Pelodiscus sinensis: one gene and its partner. The main gene of each other region encodes a partner of the protein of the gene in region 2 in a complex. Links are inferred from orthologs where the notes say so. Each region holds a gene or a part of one and is shown on either strand. Other genes may lie near its edges.

What was found. Proteins that work in one complex are often made in the same cells at the same time.
Region 1: the proteins of DBF4 (region 2) and CDC7 are in contact, whole or in part, in a crystal structure (PDB 6YA8), measured with the Homo sapiens proteins. The link is inferred for Pelodiscus sinensis from reciprocal best matches to the Homo sapiens genes DBF4 and CDC7. Residues at the interface, in NP_006707.1 of Homo sapiens: Thr210, Arg211, Thr212, Gly213, Arg214, Leu215, Lys217, Pro218, Phe219, Val220, Lys221, Val222, Glu223, Asp224, Met225, Ser226, Gln227, Leu228, Tyr229, Arg230, Pro231, Phe232, Tyr233, Leu234, Leu236, Met239, Pro240, Ile242, Asn243, Tyr244; in NP_001127891.1 of Homo sapiens: Asn56, Val57, Phe58, Ala77, Gln78, Leu79, Gln80, Ile87, Ile93, Pro94, Thr95, Ser96, His97, Pro98, Ile99, Arg100, Ile101, Ala102, Leu105, Gln106, Thr109, Lys121, Tyr122, Cys123, Phe124, Arg125, Asn127, Asp128, Val130, Leu143.

The regions. Positions count from the first base shown.
Region 1 is NC_134719.1:33,694,461-33,704,743, reverse strand, and holds the start of CDC7 (cell division cycle 7-related protein kinase), read right to left. Parts: upstream 4,483-10,283; coding exon 4,463-4,482; intron 1-4,462. UniProt on the Homo sapiens protein: Kinase involved in initiation of DNA replication. Phosphorylates critical substrates that regulate the G1/S phase transition and initiation of DNA replication, such as MCM proteins and CLASPIN.
Region 2 is NC_134712.1:216,914,955-216,924,873, forward strand, and holds the start of DBF4 (protein DBF4 homolog A), read right to left. Parts: upstream 4,144-9,919; 5' UTR 3,995-4,143; intron 3,679-3,994; 5' UTR 3,629-3,678; coding exon 3,583-3,628; exon of another isoform or gene 3,579-3,582; intron 2,157-3,578; coding exon 1,981-2,156; intron 1-1,980. UniProt on the Homo sapiens protein: Regulatory subunit for CDC7 which activates its kinase activity thereby playing a central role in DNA replication and cell proliferation. Required for progression of S phase.

The sequences.
Region 1 (10,283 bases), on a different chromosome or scaffold from region 2:
GGACTGGAAGGGACCTCGAGAGGTCATCGAGTCCAGCCCCCTGCCCTCAAGGCAGGATCAAGCTCCGTCTACACCATCCCTGACAGATGTCTATCTAACCTGTTCTTAAATATCTCCAGAGAGGGAGATTCCACCACCTCCCTTGGCAATTTATTCCAATATTTGACCACCCTGACAGTTAGGAATTTTTTCCTAATGTCCAATCTAAACCTCCCCTGCTGCACTTTAAGCCCATTACTCCTTGTCCTGTCCTCAGAAACCAAGAGGAACAAATTTTCTCCTTCCTCCTTGTGACACCCTTTTAGATATTTGAAAGCCGCTATCATGTCCCCCCTTAATCTTCTTTTTTCCAAACTAAACAAGCCCAGTTCATGAAGCCTGGCTTCATAGGTCATGTTCTCTAAACCTTTAATCATTCTTGTCGCTCTTCTCTGTACCCTTTCCAATTTCTCCACATCTTTCTTGAAATGTGGCGCCCAGAACTGGACACAGTACTCCAGCTGAGGCCTAACTAGTGCAGAGTAGAGCGGCAGAATGACTTCACGAGTTTTGCTTACAACACACCTGTTAATACAACCTAGAATCATATTTGCTTTTTTTGCAACAGCATCACACTGTTGACTCATATTCAACTTGTGGTCCACTATGACCCCTAGATCCCTTTCTGCCATGCTCCTTCCTAGACAGTCGCTTCCCATCTTGTATGTATGGAACTGATTGTTCCTTCCTAAGTGGAGCACTTTGCATTTCTCTCTATTAAACCTCATCCTGTTTACCTCCGACCATTTCTCTAACTTGCTAAGGTCATTCTGAATTATGTCCCTATCCTCCAAAGAAGTCGCAACCCCACCCAGTTTGGTATCATCTGCAAACTTAATAAGCGTACTCTCTATCCCAATATCTACATCATTGATGAAGATATTGAACAGTATGGGTCCCAAAACAGACCCTTGAGGAACTCCACTTGTTATCCCTTTCCAGCAGGATTTAGAACCGTTAACAACCACTCTCTGACTACGGTTATCCAGCCAATTATGCACCCACCTTATCGTGGCCCTATCTAAGTTATATTTGCCTAGTTTATCAATAAGAATATCATGCGAGACCGTATCAAATGCCTTACTAAAGTCTAGGTATATGACATCCACCGCTTCTCCCTTATCCACAAGGCTCGTGGATGATCTTTGAAAAATCATGGCAGACAGGGGAGATTCCAGAAGACTGGAAAAGGGCAAATATTGTGCCCATCTATAAAAAGGGGAATAAGAACAACCCAGGAAACTACAGACCGGTCAGTTTGTCTGTCCCAGGGAAGATAATGGAGCAGGTAATTAAGGAAATCGTATGCAAACACTTGGAAGGTAATAAAGTGATAGGGAATAGCCAGCATGGGTTTGTGAAGAACAAGTCATGCCAAACTAATCTGATAGCTTTCTTTGATAAGATAACGAGCCTTGTGGATAAGGGAGAAGCGGTGGATGTCATATACCTAGACTTTAGTAAGGCATTTGATACGGTCTCGCATGATATTCTTATTGATAAACTAGGCAAATATAACTTAGATAGGGCCACGATAAGGTGGGTGCATAATTGGCTGGATAACCGTAGTCAGAGAGTTGTTGTTAACGGTTCTAAATCCTGCTGGAAAGGGATAACAAGTGGAGTTCCTCAAGGGTCTGTTTTGGGACCCGTACTGTTCAATATCTTCATCAATGATGTAGATATTGGGATAGAGAGTACGCTTATTAAGTTTGCAGATGATACCAAACTGGGTGGGGTTGCAACTTCTTTGGAGGATAGGGACATAATTCAAAATGACCTTAGCAAGTTAGAGAAATGGTCAGAGGTAAACAGGATGAGGTTTAATAAAGAGAAATGCAAAGTGCTCCACTTAGGAAGGAACAATCAGTTCCATACATACAAGATGGGAAGCGACTGTCTAGGAAAGAGCATGGCGAAAGGGATCTAGGGGTCATAGTGGACCACAAGTTGAATATGAGTCAACAGTGTGATGCTGTTGCAAAAAAAGCAAATATGATTCTAGGTTGTATCAACAGGTGTGTTGTAAGCAAAACTCGTGAAGTCATTCTGCCGCTCTACTCTGCACTAGTTAGGCCTCAGCTGGAGTACTGTGTCCAGTTCTGGGCGCCACATTTCAAGAAAGATGTGGAGAAATTGGAAAGGGTACAGAGAAGAGCTACAAGAATGATTAAAGGTTTAGAGAACATGACCTATGAAGCCAGGCTTCATGAACTGGGCTTGTTTAGTTTGGAAAAAAGAAGATTAAGGGGGGACATGATAGCGGTTTTCAAATATCTAAAAGGGTGTCACAAGGAGGAAGGAGAAAATTTGTTCCTCTTGGTTTCTGACAAGGAGTAACGGGCTTAAAGTGCAGCAGGGGAGGTTTAGATTGGACATTAGGAAAAAATTCCTAACTGTCAGGGTGGTCAAATATTGGAATAAATTGCCAAGGGAGGTGGTGGAATCTCCCTCTCTGGAGATATTTAAGAACAGGTTGGATAGACATCTGTCAGGGATGGTGTAGACGGAGCTTGGTCCTGCCTTGAGGACGGGGGGATGGACTCGATGACCTCTTGAGGTCCCTTCCAGTCCTATTATTCTATGATTCTATGATTCTATGACGCCACCCAACTGGCTGACTGGGCTAACCGCCTAAACACGTCAGCCCACGAGCAGTTCTATGTCCGCCTGCCCTGGCTACTTCCTCACCCCCAAGTGTCTGGGCTTCACCGTCCGCCTCCTGTTCCACTATCCTCAGTTTTCCCAGTCCTCCCTCAGTCCCGGCCGCTCCTCTCTCTGTTCTCCACCTCTCCTCCTTTTAACACTGCCGCTTCCCCTCCTGCACCGGCATCCCGGGGCCGGCTCCCTGCCCCTCCTCCGTTGACCTCACCTGAGCTGCCCCCCATTGCACCTGCGCCGGTGCTGCCATGTCTGGGGTCGAAGGCGCATGTGCCGCCAGGGAACTGGATGCTGCTCGCCAGCTCCGCTCCGGCTGCCAGCTCTTCTCTCACCGCGGTCCGAGGGGAGAGCGGCTTGTCCGGCCCCCGGCGGAGGTCTAGTGGCGGGGGTGCGCTTTGCTCCACGACCCCGTCACAGAGATGGTATTAAGACCCCAGACTCATGACACCCACAAAACGATATATTACCATAAGTTGTGAGGGGTAGGATCAGGGGCATTTGCTCCAGTTATATTTGGGCCTGCAAAGAAGCTGGAGATGAGAATAGTGAGTGGGGATATGGGTAAACACTCTGTGGCATCAGAGTTGGACCCAGGAACACTAGAAAATAGGCTTTATGGCATCAAAGCTATGGACATGCTTGCTTGAAACTAAGTCCAATAAACATCACATTGCCTGCACTTCAGACTTCTGGTCTTTTGCTTTCCATCTTCATGAAAAGAATCGGGCGGGGGAAGAGAAAGTTCCCTAACACAACCTGAGTCCTAAAGAAAACCAAACAACTGGGCAGTAGGGATGTAAAATCCTATTTTAAACCAGTAAAACGTTACATTTAATTGATTAACTAGGATCATGCAGGCAGGGGGGCCACTCTAGCCTAGATAGGCCCAGCTGGGTTGGAACAGTCCCTTGCCCATGGCGCAGGGGGCCCGGCCATGCAGGAGTGGCCCCACACCCGCAGTGTAGCATGATGGGTCCAGCCTGACTGGAGCAACCCTTTGCCCATGGCTCCAGTGTAGCCAGATGTGCTGCATTGCAAACTGCTTTGGCCACACTGGGCTGAGCCCATTGTACTGTGGGTGAGGAGCTTCTGCTCAGGCCAGGCTGGGCCTGCTGCCCTGTACTGTGGGCAGGGGTTGCTCCAGCCAGACTGGACTCAACTTGCTGCAGGCAGGGAGCTGGCTGATCCAGGCTGTCTGGGCCCACTGTGCTGCCCAGTTATCTGGTGGCTGGGCTGGGCTGGAGTGCCCTCCTCCAGCAGCGCAGTGTGATGGACCCCACTGGACTGGAGCGCAGGGGCTGCTCCAGCCTGGCCAAGTTGCCAGTTATCTCCAGCTTCCCCAGGGGACAGAACTTAAGGGGAGGGGACCCTGTGGTTCCTGGTCTCTTCTGTGGTAGGTGTGTTTCCTCTGGGGACACCAGGCCTCTCCTCAGAGGGGGCGGCTCTGAGTGGGGGCCTGGGCTATGGTTCCTGGCCTCTCTTCAAAAGGTGGTGTTTCCTACAGGATGGGGTGCACTGAGGTTCCAGGCTTCTTCCAGAACGGGAGAGTCTACTGCAGAGGGGACGGTGACAGGCCCTGGCCTACCTAGAGAAGGGGAGTCTCTTCCAGATGGGATGGTCCATGGTTACTGAGTCTCCTGTGGGTGTGGGCTTTGCTGTTTGGGGGGCTGTGGTGGCAGCCAGTGACTGATGGGACTCCCCCTCCATTCAACACTGTGGCCGAGGGCTGTGGAGAAAGGCTTGGGGCAGGGAAGCCACTTACCCAGTCCAGTGACTGGCCATGTAAACAGCTCTGTCGCCAGCTGGCCAGTCTCTTGTTGGTGTGGTCGCTCTCCAGTGGTCACTCTGCAGTGTAGCTATCCCTCCTGTAGCTTCCTCCATTTCCATGTGATAAAAAATAATCCCATTCCAGGCACTTCACGTTTTCCTGGAACAACCAAACCCTCACCTTGCTTTAAGAAAGGAAATCTTCTGTGTCCGCATATTTATCTATTTCCACCTCTACAATATTGCCTGGTTAAATATAGTCCATGGTTCAAGTTCAAGTTATTCTCCAAGTTAAACTTGCTATTGTCAGTGATAATTCACACAATGTTATTTTGAAAGTGTGATAATTTACAAATATATTTGTGCAAGGGATTGTACTAACTGTTTCTGTATTTGCATGTTTACCACCTTCCCCACAGCTTTTTTTTTAAAGTGGGTAATTTTTTTTCACCATAATGTTTCTATTTTTCCATATTTTGACTTCAGTGGCATAAAAAGCTTTAATGGAGTGAGAATCTAGCCAGCAATATCAGTAAGCAGCAACGATGACTACTTTAAAGCTGTCTTTTATAGTATTTCTTAAACTTACTGGTTTCACATTGTTTGTTTTCTTTAAAACTGGTCATCTCAGGGTATGTCTACACTACCCTCCTAGTTCGAACTAGGAGGGTGATGTAGGCATACCGCACTTGCAAATGAAGCCCGGGATTTGAATTTCCCGGGCTTCATTTGCATAAGCGGGGAGCCGCCATTTTTAAAACCCCGCTGGTTCGAACCCCGTGCAGCGCGGCTACACGGGGCACGAACTAGGTAGTTCGAACTAGGCTTCCTAGTTCAAACTACCGTTACTCCTCATTTCACGAGGAGTAACGGTAGTTTGAACTAGGAAGCCTAGTTCGAACTACCTAGTTCATGCCCCGTGTAGCCGCGCTGCACGGGGTTCGAACCAGCGGGGTTTTAAAAATGGCGGCTCCCCGCTTATGCAAATGAAGCCCGGGAAATTCAAATCCCGGGCTTCATTTGCAAATACGGTATGCCTACATTACCCTCCTAGTTTGAACTAGCGGGGTAGTGTAGACATACCCTCTGTGATTTAAATTATTTAAAAAAAATCGAATTCTTATATAGCGGATTCTATACAAAAGTAAAGTTGTGCATACTATCATAGCATATGATTAGTATTAAACTTTTAACATTTAAATCTGGAGGAAGTTAGGCATATATGATTGAAACATCTAGTTATTTTCCCATTGTATTTGGCATGTAGCACCAAGATGGAATAATAGCCTACAAGCCATTTTATAAATAGACTACTATAATAATAAACATTCCTTAACTTACTGTACATTCTGTAAATCATTAAAAGTCATTGTAACCACCCCAGTCATTATAATCTATTCTTCCCCACTATCACCCTGGAGAGACTATGCCCCTAATATATGAACAGTTCAAAAATGTGATATTCCACTTAAACCTTCTGTAGAAACACTGGGTTTGATTCACCTCTTATTTATATTAATTTTGCATTGGTAAAACTGCACTAACTTCAGTTGAATTACTCCTGATTTATACTGGTGTAACTGAAAGCAGAATGAGATCTTCCGTTCACTGATTTTGAGACAGATACAGCAGAGAGCAACAAAGACATGATGTCTGTTTTCCGTTTGCATGCCATACTTTCACTTCTAAAGAGCTACTAACAAAAGAACAAAGAATTATAGTTCATAAGAAAACTGTTTCATACTCCTATATAAAAGAACAAAGAAATATATACAAAGAAAACCATGTCTTACCCCAACTCCAACAGGCCTGACTGAGGTATGCTGAAGTCCCAGCAGGCAGAATGAAGCAGTTACAGTGCCCCCAGCAGACAGCAGTGTTGGGGCCCTGAGATAAAAGCAGTCTATCAAAGAGAGAAATTTTGTACTGAAAGAAAAGTGATACATATATCACTTAAGGCAACTGGCTTAAAATATTAAAAAAGAGGACAGCATCATAGAAAGGGGGTTTCTTTAGAAAATTGCCTGTGGACTATATTTTAGTGTTCAGAAGCCTCTTCCTGATGTTATTTTATACAATACCCAGTTTTCTCCAGTTTCAGAAGTACTAATATTCAGTGGCTGCAGAATCACAGAAAGCTTCTGGATTCTGCTTATGCCTCCTCCACACTCCTGAAGTCCTATTTCCAGCAAATGTTTCAGAACTATATAGCCCTGCGCATGCACACACATGGCTGCGCACGCTCACATGCTCACACACACACACACACACACACACGTACATCTACACTGTGGGGGTTTTCCAGGATACTGGAGATATCCCAGAAAAACTCCGCCACGTCCAGGGAACGCATTTGCTCTTCTGCTTTTTCTTTGCAGAAGTGCAAATGTGCTCTTTCAGAAGCCTTGTCTTCCTCATTCCATGAGGAAGAAGGGATCTTCTGAAAGAGGGAGATTTTCCAAAATTTGGTCCAGTGTAGACAGGTCAAATTTCGGAAAAGCCTCTTCCAAAAAAAAAAAAAATAGGAAAAAGCTGTAGTGTAGACCTACATACCAGCCACTCAGGTGTTGATGGTTCCCTGCTTTGAAAAGGCTTCATTTTGAACTAAAGATATTAGATACCTTTGATAAAATATGTTGCCCCTTTTTGTAAAACACAATAGATTATTAAATTAAATATCTGGCTGAATGTAATTATTATATTACCTTATATTTTATCTCTGTGTAGTGCCTATTTTCTGCTAGCCTAGTTCTCATTTGTTATGTTGATATTTGTTATTTATGCTTTTTGCTTGTTTAAAATAACTATAACTAGGGATGTGATGAATTCCTGATACAGAATCTGATTAAAATAAAAAACCCTCCAATTTCAATAACAGTTCATAAATTTACTTGGACAGTGCTTTTCTGATGCTTTCTAAGAATATGGATAATGAATGTTCAATAGTGTGCAAATACAACCTAGTGCAAATTTCAGCTATATATGACCTTAGGAATACATGCTACATACCATCCGGAAAACATTGGTCATTTTTATAACATTAACAAATAATATTGCTAAAAATCTATTAATTAAAATATTAACAAAGTTTGCTAATATAAAGATGGATGGTAGTGCTGCTTAAACCCCCTCGTCTCTGTCTTTTATCCTGCAAAGGTGCTTGTTTGGGGATCACCACGTCAACCTTGACTGAGGTGGCAGAGGACTGGTGTAGGAGATTTTAAGGCTGTGGAGCCAAGCATTACTAATCTCAGAGAAGTGTCCTGTTCCCTCAAACAGGAAGTCTTGAAGAGTGGTAACTTGAAGAGAGGACTGTAACTAGGAGCTCCACCTACTGCACTGCTGACTGCCCTGCCACCTAGTCCGTAGCATCCCAGGCAATTTGGAGTGTGCCTCTCGCTATCGCTGTGCCTTCCTCCACTAAGGCAACGAACTTCTGGGCTCGGTCCTGTGGAAGGGCCTCTTTGAACTTGCCGATGGAGTCCCACGGGTTGGATGTCAGAGCATGCTATGGTGACAGATTTGGTGCTGTGCTTTGATTCTGGTGCCAGGGACAGTTTGTCCATTGCAATCAGGGAAGAATGGTGGGAGTACAGGATCAGCATAATAGGTATGCCCCACAGATTCCAATACAACCACTGAGTGGGCCACTGTCTCTGATGCTGCTGCTTCCGGAGCCGCACTGATCTTGTGGGATGGTGGTGATTTACCTTTTCTTGATGAGGGGCTGAACTTTCCCTCTGACTTGGACCATTGTCCTTTTTGTAACCAGGGCAGAGCTGTACAGTCCTGAGTTGGCCAACTGAGCCTCACTGGCGACCAGTAAGGAGATGGCGTGGATCAGTGCCTGCCCAAAGAATGGTACTGGGGAGTTGGAGACCAATGCCACAACCGGGAATGATCCTGCATTGGAGAGTATCAATACCTGAGAGAGAGCCTAGTCGATGATCTTTGTCTTGACAATTTTTGGCAGGAGGCCCGTTGATATCATGGGTATGGGGATTAGTATTTTGGTGGTGTCCCGTGCCTTGTAGGTGGAGATCAGGGTGTGAAGTACCTGGGTCTTCTAAATAACTTATTCTTTGTCCATCAAAAGCATTATGAGGAGCCATGGTCCACTGCTGCTTTCAGAATTCAGATCCCCGGCTGAACTAGGGGATCCAACCACAGCAGCGACCCTGTGCGAACATGTGGCCTGCAGAGCGAACATGTGGCCTGCCTGACACAGGTCTTTTTCCCAAAGTCCTCTTCCCCTCTGGTGCTGGTGGGCCCTTCATCTTTAGCAGCTTCTTAGGCACTAGTGAGGGGGAATGGTGCCTGGTGAATTCTGGTGCTGGCCGTGCGTTCTGCTTTGATGCCAAGGTGGTAGGTGTGGAGTCCAATCCGGAGGGTTCCAAGGCCAGACAAAGTGCAGTGTCCATGAGAAGATCCTTGAATTGGATATCCTGCTCCTTTTGATTTTGAGGCTGAAAGACTTTGCAGATCCTGCACTTGTCCTTTCTATGGGACTCCCCCAAACACTTTAAACAGCATCATGGGGTCACTAATGGACATTGGTCTTCTGCATGATGAACATGGCTTAAAGCCTGGGGAAGACGGCATTCCCAGCCAGGACTCTAACTACTAAACTATTACATTAACACTTAACTTAATAGTCTAAGTACCTAAAAACTAAATATAAAGGAAAGAGAACAATTAACTGTAAGAACTGGTAGGCTCCTGCAATGCAAAATAGGGCTCTTAGATCTGTAGAAATAAAGAACAGAGAGGGAATAGGGCCAGTGGTGCCTAATATAGCATCACATAAGCAACTCCAGGGGGCGCCACAGCCAATCCCATGGACACTGCTAAGGCAAAAATCTCTATTGACTGTTCACATGGGCAAACATACACCTGGAATGGAATCAACATGAGTAAACATACGAAGAAGTCTCATTTCACTGTCCTGTTCTCTCTGAGAACCTGTTCAACTGAAGTAAAGCTGGTTGAAAAATTGTTAACAGAAGAGTTTTCTGTTGGAAAAATGCAATTTTGCCAAACTTGAAACATTACAAGGGAAAGTGTTGATTTCTGTGGCATCTTTGTCAAAAAATTCTTGAAATGAATTGTTTTGACTGCCTCATTTTGTTTTGATAATATCAAAATGTTTCCTTTCAATAAGATAAAAATGTTTCATTTAGACTTTCTTGTTTAATTTTGATTTGAGTTGATATAATGTTAAATGTTATATTTAACATTTGAAAGTATCTTTTATATTTGATGTTTTGATATTTCCAATACATTTTTTTAAAATTTTTGTCCTGTAAGTAATTTAGAAATTTCAGCTTTCCTACATCAAAAAACTAATTTTGAAATGTCTGAATTTCCCATGGTATAGCAATTCAGCCTTCTGACAAACTATAACTGAAAAATAAATCTAAACTTCCTCTCTCTTAGCAATCAATTTTAGCTTTATGCAGTACTTAGTTTTCTCCAGTTTCAAATGTATTAATAATTCAATAAAGTATGTTGATGATGGTCATGGTATGTCACAAGTTTCTGCTTTGCCCCAACCCCCAAACAACAAAAGTCTTTTTATATTAGGACTAGAAGATTTACCCAGCATTGCTCAGGTCTTTAACTTACAAAGATTTGTTTTTCTTCATTTAAATCAGGCATGTCCAAAGTCCGGCTCGCGGGCCAATTGCGGCCCGTGTACCGGTTTAATACGGCCCCCCAGGTAATTTGGCAATATCTATCTTTTATGGCCCCCAACGAATCCATATGTATTGAGATGAATACATTGTAAAATCTCAGTTAATGTTAGTTGGTCTAAA
Region 2 (9,919 bases):
GATGGAAGTTCCATTGACTACTTGATTAGGCGTCCACGGGTCTTACTACATTTCAAAGACAGAGGCACAGCAGTCGGGACCCAGGGCAAGTGGGCACTGCTTCAGTCCCCACTCACACCATTTCCCCGCTGTGCCTCTGCCTCTCCTGCCCCCTATGGAGACAGAATGCAGCAGTCAGAACCCGGGCTCTTGCTACATTTCATAGGCAGAAGCGCAGCAGTCAGAATCCAGGGCAAGCGGGGTTTGGGTAGCTGACTAGTAGCTTACATCCCTAATTTGGACCTTTAGATTAATAGCAAAGACTACCTCTTAATATAGCAGAATATCATAATATGGTAGAATAACTGGTAGCAGTAGAAGGCTGTTATCCTCTGTGTAAACCAGTCACATGGGCTGAGCACATACTTTATTAGTGGGCTTCACAGCTTTGTAAGCCGATGATTGCAAAGACACAGAATTCCTGGATTTAGTTCCAGGATGTGTAGAGGAATGTGCTGTGCTGGCTGTTAATTATTTTATCTCTGTGCCCTATCGTGTCCTCCCTTACCCCTTCAGCTATCTCCTCCCCTGTTCCTATCCAATACTCATACCTCCTGCTGGCCACCTTCTTGCCCCGCACCCTCTCTGATCCTATCCAACTCCTCACTTCGGCTGTGTCTAGACTGGCCAGCTTTTCCGGAAAATCAGCAGCTTTTCCGGAAAAACTTGCCAGCTGTCTACACTGGCCGCTTGAATTTCCGGAAAAGTGCTGACAATCTCATGTAAGATTGTCAGTGCTTTTCCGGAAATAGTATGCTGCTCCCATTAGGGCAAAAGTCTTTTTCCGAAAGACTTTTGCGCAAAAGGGCCAGTGTAGACAGCACAGTACTGTTTTCCGCAAAAAAGCCCCGATCGCGAAAATGGCGATCGGGGCTTTTTTGTGGAAAAGCGTCCTGCCAATCTAGACGTGCTTTTCCGAAAATGCTTTTAATGGAAAAGTTTTCCATTAAAAGCATTTCCAGAAAATCATGCCAGTGTAGACGTAGCCTTCCTGTCTCCTGCCCACTTCCATCCTTGATCCTATCCAACCCCATGCCCTCCTTGTCCCACCCTTCCTCTTTGCTCATATCCAAAAACTCCTCCCCATCCACCCGCACCTACATCTCCGGCCCTCTTTTGGCTCCTGCAATGCATCATGCCTTTATTGCTTACACCCCCAGCACTCTGAATTCAACTCATGTCATCACCCCAGTTCTTGCCGCATAAGAGATACTGCCCCTGATGGCAGGAAAGAACAATTACACAGAACTATCCAGCCCTTGCAGCTCTGGGCTAATGCATGCTATATGAAATATTTGGAGAATATTGCTACCAAACACCAGTAAGTCTCTTCTGAGCACTTATGAAGTGATTTTTTGAGCCTCATTACTTGGCCAAATTTAAGCAAAATGTCATGGGGACAGCAAAAGGCATATTACTAGCACCAGTTTGACCACCTTGCCCAAGTCTGGTCTGAAGCATGGAGGCAAAAGAGCGACTCCATGAAACAGTTGTAAAAAGGCTTTAAACATTGGGGAAAAGATGTTGTTTTCTAATCTCATTTTTGGAAACAGACAAACTTTCAAATAAAAAAAATGAGCCTGAGGTAGAAAACTAGCACAGAAAACTTCAGCCAAAACAGTCAGAGGTAGGCAAAGTTAAAAGCAACTGAAAACAAAGTCTTAAAATAGAAAGTATTGGATAACCTTAACCTTATAGGCAATGTTACCAGCTCCACTTATAATAGCAAAAAAACTGAAGAAAATTATATTTTAACATTAACCTAAAGATTCATTATAAAAAGGAAAACATGTAGAAAATAAAGTTACGGGACAACATATATTTAAAAAAAAATAATCATTTTTAATCATGTATTTACAGAACATGATGTATTGGAAAAATATCCAAAGCCTGCATATTACTTTTCCCACTTTGTAAACACATATGGTTTTTTAAACTTACCCCTCCTAGTTCCTTCAGATCCGTCTCTAATTTTTCAGAGATCACATTAGATGGAATATCAAGATAAAACACCTTCCCTGTAAGAGGCTTATATTTAGATTTCTCTGTCTTTGTGATATCTTTTTTTGATGTTTTCAGAGAAGGTTTATTTTTTTCTGTTTTTCCTTGTATTCCACCTGGTGGAAAAAAGAAAGAAAGTTTGAATAGGATTATATTTTATGAACTTGCATGTTTTCCAAAATATTTTCCCCTCTTTAAAGCCAAATTCAAGTAGTGACAGTAAGGGCAGGATAAGCCAAAGTTCTGCATAAACAGGATGTATTTTTGAAGAACCGTGGCCCTAAAACATACAAGAAAGAAGATTTGAAAATTATTACACAACCAGCTTTAAAACAATATTAAAGTTTTTTTCAATTACTTCATTTCTCAGAAGACATTTTGATGCCCATCTACAGTAATGTTAAAGGGGAGCAATCACCAAAGGCCCCAACCCTGTGGATCTTGTACATTTCAAAGGAAGCAGCACAGAGGGGAACCCCCTGTGGATGGCTCTTGTACATTTCAAAGGGAGAGAGGCAGCAGGATAGTGAGCACCCCCCTTCCATTGACTATTCAATTAGCTGATTAACTCAGCTACCCCTCTGAAGCTTTTGAAACAGGGATGTTGAATTTCAGTTAATCTATAACTGGAAAAACTTAAAAAAAAATCTAGCTAGCAGCACCTTAAAAACTCTAATTCACTAATTTTTCCTCCTTCCTTTTTTGCCGCCCTCCCCCCCCCATCCCATATTTATTTTGGAACTGGGCTTTTAATATTCCATTCATCTGAAAAAGTGGGTGGTATCCATGAAAGCTCATGATACCATCTACATGTTTTGTTAGTCTTTAAGGTGCTGCTAGCCTATTCGTTGTTTTTTAAGTTTATCCCTCTTTCAGACAGCTTATACAATGAACAAGTTAACCAGTTTCACTTATTTCTAGTCAGTTTCACTTTTTGTTCTAGTGTATCAGCATAAATTAGCACAGAGTCTCCAATATTAAAGAGAAAGGATTTTAAAGCCTAAGAATTTCAGCTTTCTTGTGAATTTTCAATTACTGGAAGTTGTGACAATTTTCTTCCACTATTTGATCTGAGGAAGTGGGTCTGGCCCACGAAAGCTCATCACCTATTAAACCATCTTGTTAGTCTTTAAAGTGCTACACAGTCCTGTTTTTTGTTTTGGAAGATGATGGTGTTTACAAATACAATACAGATATTTACCCATTTTGTGTTTTGAGTTTTTATTACTATTGCTTCCTTGGGACTACCTTAAATAAAATTAAACATTTTTACACGTTTTGTGGGAAATGGTGAGTCAAGCTCCAGTCATAGGTCCACGAACACACCAAGAGACAAAATGCTGGATTGGGGCCTTCTCATAGGTGTTAATTATATGCAGCCCCCTTTTTATTTGACGAATTTGAGAAAAACAGCTCCCAGTTAACAATGTACCTAAATTAAACGATCAAAAAATCCTTTACAGCCACTGAATGAGATTTGCAAACCCTCTGAACTGCTTCCCATAATCGCTCAAGATCATCTAAAGAAAGACCATCACCTACGTGTAACTTGTCCTTTGTTGCTAATCTTCATAGCACTTGGTTTCATTTTCCTGGGGAGTCACATTTTTCCATCCACCTTCCTCCCCGAGTTACGACCTGCCGAAGAAACGGTTCAATACAGAAATTAAATCTCCGAGAGAGGCGGCCCGTGCGTATTGCCCACCTCGAGTTACTGCCCCCTGGCTCCCATACACGCCGCAGCTTCCAAGTCCGCAGCTACCCCCACCCCAGTCACCGCTCCTCTGCGGCTCCGTGGTTCTCCCCAAGCCCCGTCCAAGCCGCCGCTTCCCTCCCCCAACGGTCACCCCTGCTCCAGTCAGCCCTCCCCTCCCCCTCTCCCAACGGTCACCCCTTCCCGCCCCAGATCCCTCTCCCTCTCTCGCGGGTGGGAAAGGCGCTGCGGCTCGCTCACCGTAGGCTCTGAGGCGGCTACCCAGGGCCGAGCCCCCTCCTCCCCCGGCAGCCTGACCGAGGCGCTTTCCCGCCTCGCGACTCCAACCTCCGCACCAGAGGCCTAACCGGGCCTCCCTCCCTCCCGGCGCGGCCTGGCCGGGTCGAGTAGAGTAGCGCCGCCCCCTGAGGAGGGGCCAAGGGGCGGGACTGCCGGGCAGAGAGCAATGCTGGCGCGAGGCGGGCGCAGCGCAGGTGGCTTGTTGGTGCTGGGGCGGCTCCTCCCTCCAGCGCTGGGAGCACAGTGAGTGGGAGCGGCAGCCCGTGTGGCAACCCGGTACGGGCAGGGCGCGGGCGGCTGATGGCCTCTGCGAGTGGGATTGCTGCTGCTGTGCCGCACGAGGCGCCGCTCCTGGAGAGTGGACCGGCTTCACAGCAGCGTTATTTCCAAATACCATAGTGTGCGCGTCTACACAGCAATAATGTCTATATGGAGGAGTTCTTACGCTGGCTCCTGTAACCATAGAGGTGCGCAGCACATTTCATTAGGGTGTGCACCCAGGGAATTTTATTTTTTATTGGTGAAAATTTATTGACTACTCAATCATAAAGGACATGCTGTGAGCCAAGGCAGGCTTTTTATATATTCTACATTCGGCACTTAGAATCATAGAACTGGAGGAGACGTCAGAAGGTCATCAAGTCCAGCCCCCTGCCCAAGGCAGGACCAATCCCAACTAAATCAACCCAGCCAGGGCTTTGTCAAGCCGAGACTTAACCACCTCTAGGGATGGAGACTCCACTACTTCCCTAGGTAACCCATTCCAGTGCTTCACTACCCTCCTAGTGAAACAGTTTTTCCTAATATCCAACCTGGACCTCTCCCACCACAACTTGAGACCATTGCTCCTTGTTCTGCCATCTGTCACTACTGAGAACAGCCTCTCTCCATCCTCTTTGGAACCTCCCTTCAGGAAGTTGAAGGCTGCTATCAAATCCCCCCTCACTCTTCGCTTCTGCAGACTAAACAGACCCAAGTCTCTCAGCCTCTCCTCATAAGTCATATGCTCCAGCCCCCTAATCATTTTGGTTGCCCTCCGCTGGACCCTCTGCAATGCGTCCACATCCTTTTTGTAGTGGGGGGCCCAGAACTGGACACAATACTCCAGATGTGGCCTCACCAAAGCCGAATAAAGGGGAATAATGACACCGCTTATTATATAATACAACAATCTATACCTTTAAACTAAAAGAGCGTATCGTGTGATTAAATTAAAACCCAAAGCCACTTTTTTTTGAGACATTAGGGTGTGCCTGGGCACACCCGGCACACCCCCTGGGTACACCTATGCCTGTAACTCTCATTTCAGGAGGAGTAAGGGAAGTTGAAGGAAGGGTGCTTTTCCTTTGACTTCCTGCAGTGTAGATAGCGCCCAAATCCAAACTAAGCTATTTCCACTTCAGCTACACAATTGATGTAGCTGAAGTTGCGAATTTCGACCTTTGCCTCAGGGCCTGCCGAGCCGTTCGTGCGCCCCAGGAGCGCAGTGCCACCCCCAGGAGTGTGGCGCATGCACGGCCTTGCCCCTGGGCACCCAGTGTATGCGTGGCCTTGTCCTGGATGCCCACTGCATGCACAGCCCCTCCCCGCCTGTTCCGGCAGCCCCACGCGGTGTCCCCTAGAATGGGGCGCCCCGGGTAGTAGCCCGGTCATCCTGTAGCTTAGGCCTGCTCTGCTTTGCCCTGCAGTGTAGTTGTGCCCTTAGCGGCCACAACCCTGAGTGGCAGAGTGGGGCTGGTGTGGGGGAGTAGGGCTATAGTCATTAGTAGGGGATGGTGGCTGGGGTGCAAGGAGCAGAGGTTGTGGTCACAAGTGAGAGATGGTGCGTGGGGGCAAAGAGCCAGCAGGGATGTGATGACTCTTGTGGAGACTTGATGTGTGCCTGTGTGAAGGGAGCGGGTAGGCACTGCCTTTGAGGGAAAGGGGCTGTAGTAGATGCTGATGTTCTTAAAGGGGGGACTGTGTCTTGGCAGTGCAGTGAAAGAGCTTTTCTGTGGAGAGAGCAAGTTCTCAGCCTCTGGCATGGGCAGAAACCTGTGGAAGGGCATGTTCTTGAAAAGGGCTGACTTCATCTCTCCAGGTTCCAGGGCTGAAGTTTCTGAGGCCTCATGTTCAGAGGGAGAGAGTGGTGTTTAATCAAGTTAATTCAAGGGAAAATCTCAGTTAACTTGAGTTAGCTCACCTATGTTAAGAGCACACCTTTTCTCCAGTAAAAGTCTTTGGGGGCATGAATGGTAACAGTTTAACTTTTTGTGGGATGATAAAGACCACTAAAGTGGCCTGTGGCTCAAGCTCAGTCCTCTCCCCACTTCTGCCCTGCTTCCCTCCCTCTCCCCACAGCAGGGAGCCCATGCTGGCACTCCAGCCTCACGCCCCGCCCCCCCACGAATTTGGAGCACCAGGGCACCTTCCTGCTAGGGTAGGGGGTGGGATAGAAAGCCCTGAGCCTCCCCACTAGATCCAGTTCATGGGGAAGAAGCAGAGCTAGAGGTGGCTCCACACGCTGTTGCTTCCCTTCCCTTTCTCCCAGCTGTGAATATAGCAGCATAGGCACATAGAGGCTTTTCCCCGCTGCTCCCATTGGCTGGAATTGTGGCCAGTGGGAGCAGCAGGAGGCCGTGTCTGGGATATGGAGCTTGGGAATGGCGTGGGGCGCAAACGTAAGTAAATGCCTCCCCACCCTTTCATACCCAGACCCTGCACCCATACCCTGCTCCTGCACCCTCCCCTTGCCAGACACCCAGCCTGCTACTGCACCCTCCCTCCTAGCCACACATTGCACCTGCCCCTGCTCTTGCCTCCTCTGTCCTGGCCAGACACCCTACTCCCATCCTGCACCTGCACCCTACCTCCCACCCAGTGCTCACCCCCTCCAGCATTCCACCTCCCATCCAGATCCTGCACCCACATCTTTATCCAACTCACTGGCAGCCTTGTCCCACACACTGAACCCCTGATTTTTGTCCGCCCCCCCACACCCTGGGGGGCCCACAAAATCCACTAACCCCGGTACCCCAGAAGAGTAAATCTGGCCCATGGGAATCCCTGAACCTCAGTCTTCCCTGACACCCCCCGCTCATCCCATGGGGTTGGAGCTCCAGAGAAGTGAGGTTTCTCATTTGGGTGCCCCGTCAGTGAGGGTTGAAGGCTTAGGCAGGGGGCTGGACTTGATGACCCCCTGAGGTTTCTTTCAGCTCTATGATTCCATGGTTCTATGGAGGTTTGGGGAGGGGTTTCTTTGCTTCTGAATTGTGTGGTCCCCAACTGATTTTTCTGTGGGTCATTGGCCCCCGGTCCAAAAAAGGTTCTCCACCCGTGCCATAAATAAATAAATCATTGAAACCTTTTGTGTTAGACATAAAATTAATATTTTACTTTATTTAAAATAGGCCTGGGCAAAGTATAGCCCATGGGCTGCATCTGGTCTGCCAAGCCACCTGATTCAGCTCCTGGACACAGTGGGGAACCCCAGGCAGACTCCCTGCTTGCCTCGCCCTACCCATGTGCAGAAAAGTGGCTGCCAGGCCGTTTTTCTTTCAAAACTATGAACCAGGAGTGGAGAAGGGAAAGCTTCAGGCTCTGCCCCTGCCTCCAGCACAATCCCATTGACTAGTTTCTGGTCAGGAACTGGTCAATGGGATTTGCCTGTTTGAATAACAGGCTGCACAAGAAGCACCATGCCCTCCTCCCCTCCAGCCTGTAGTTATTCTCACAGGTACGTGGCCCTGCAGCCTGCGTGGTGGTTGGGTTAGGCAAAGAAGTTGCTTCAGAAAGGTGCTGGGCTGCTGGATGGGAGTCACCCAAGTAAGTCTCCTGGACAGAGACTGCCTCTGGCATTCCATCCTCTCCTTTCCCTAGTCCTCTGTCCCGCCACTCCTGCCCCCCTACTCCATATACCTAAACCCTCTGCCCCCCTTCTGCACCCATATCTCCTGGATCCAGTACTCCAATCCCCTGCCCCAGATCAGAGTCCCCTTCTGCCCTAAATCATACCCAAACTCTTACACCCCAATCCTCTGCCCTAGGTTACAACCCAAACCACTGCATCCCAGACCAGTACCCCAGGTCACAACTGTCTCCTTCACCCAAACTCCCTCCCAGACCCTACTCTCCATCCTGTATCCCAATCCTTTACTCCAAGCTTCCTTTTGCAACCAACCTCCATCCCTGACTCTGTACTTCCTCCATGAATATCATGGAAGAGTGCAGCCCCTAACCACTTTCCAGAATCTTGGAGTGCCCCCCCCCCCATCAAAAATTATTGCCCACCACTGATTTAAAATGAAGTTTGATAGACTAACATGAGAAAGTTAAAGCATTTAATTTATTTAATAATTTAATATTTCCTTTCTTACTGGTTAACTTAAACTGTTCTCCCTAGTGGCAGCACTAGCAAAATGGCAGGTGTGTTTATGTAATTAGCGGTGAGTTTCTATTAGCAACTGGTAGTCCACAGAAAGGTTTGCATTGAGCCAGGTGGCCTACAGGCCAAAATTTTTGAGAACCACTGGTTTAGACCAATATTCTGCATGTGGCCTGCAAGGCTGTTGTTTATTGTTGCCAGATTCTGCTAGTTTCCTTTCACAACTTTTTTTTCCCTACTGGTATTACTAAAGTGACACTCACTTAAAGCAAAGGCACATTAAGTGAGTTGTATACTGATTGTACACAATGTTGACTGTGAGAGCCATGCACACCTTCTGCATCCAATTAAAGTGATGCTAAGGTTAAATGAGCATGCCCTGAAAATTCTAGGTGTGCAAGCGCAGTTAAAAAACCTCCCGAGATAGGATAGTTTTGCTAAGTTAGGACAATCTTGTGGCCCACTGATATAAAGGAGGGCTACTCATGTGGTCCACTCACTAGCCTAGGTTGCCCATTGCTGGTTTAGATGTAAAGAAATGCTCTGAACCATGGAAGATGGGGTTTGTTTAAACTTGAAAGTTTTACTTTTTTAATGCTTAATGGTATAAAAATGCACATACTTTTCAGGGAGCAAGGTAATCAATAATTGATATAATTGTGACATGGACTAGGGCTTATACTGTTGTAACTGTATCAGTCAAGGAAAAAAAAATACCTGTAAGAACTTACGGCATTGGGACCATAGGGATTCTGTGCTGCTGCATGGCTAGTAGAGACTGAGGCTGGGCTGAGGAGGACTCTGTGAGGGTTGCTGGGTTTGACAGGACATACTGTGCAGCCGGACTTGAGTGGTGGCACTTTGCAGACCACTGGTGGCTAAGAAACTAAGGAAGGAAGGCATCTGAGCAGAAATGCAGATGGCCTGTTTCTTTCTACTCTAAACTCTGCTTGTGATAGACCCTAGTTTCCAGCTTCTGATCTTTTTTGTCCTTAGCTTTGCTCTTCCATTACTGTTTATAGATTTAATCTGAGGAAGTGGGTCTGGCCCACGAAAGCTCATCATCTAATGAACCATCTTGTTAGTCTTTAAAGTGCTACATAGTCCTGTATTTTGTTTATAGACATCTGATCCTCATTTCCTGGTAACTTGCCCCAGATTACAACTGGATTTCTCTCTGGCCTGTCTTGGACTCTGACCTTCTGCTGATCTTCTTGGTTCTGCTCTGACTAATAAGTCTGACTACCATTGTCCAGTTGTGACACAGACACAGTTGTGGGATATTAACTCTTCTAGTGTAGGCAAGGCCTAAGTGACTGTCAGAGCCGTGCATGCTCTCTGCATCCCCAGGAGAGGAGTCAGCATCCGGGAGCTGGCTCCCTGTGTGAATTGACTGCCAGCCTGCTCCTCGGGAGCATGCTATACTGTGGGTTCTGTAGTCTAAGCTTTATAATACAGAGCCCGCAGAGTGTAACTGCTAAGCGGTTACCTAATTAACTGTTTTTAAACATCCCTACATCAAT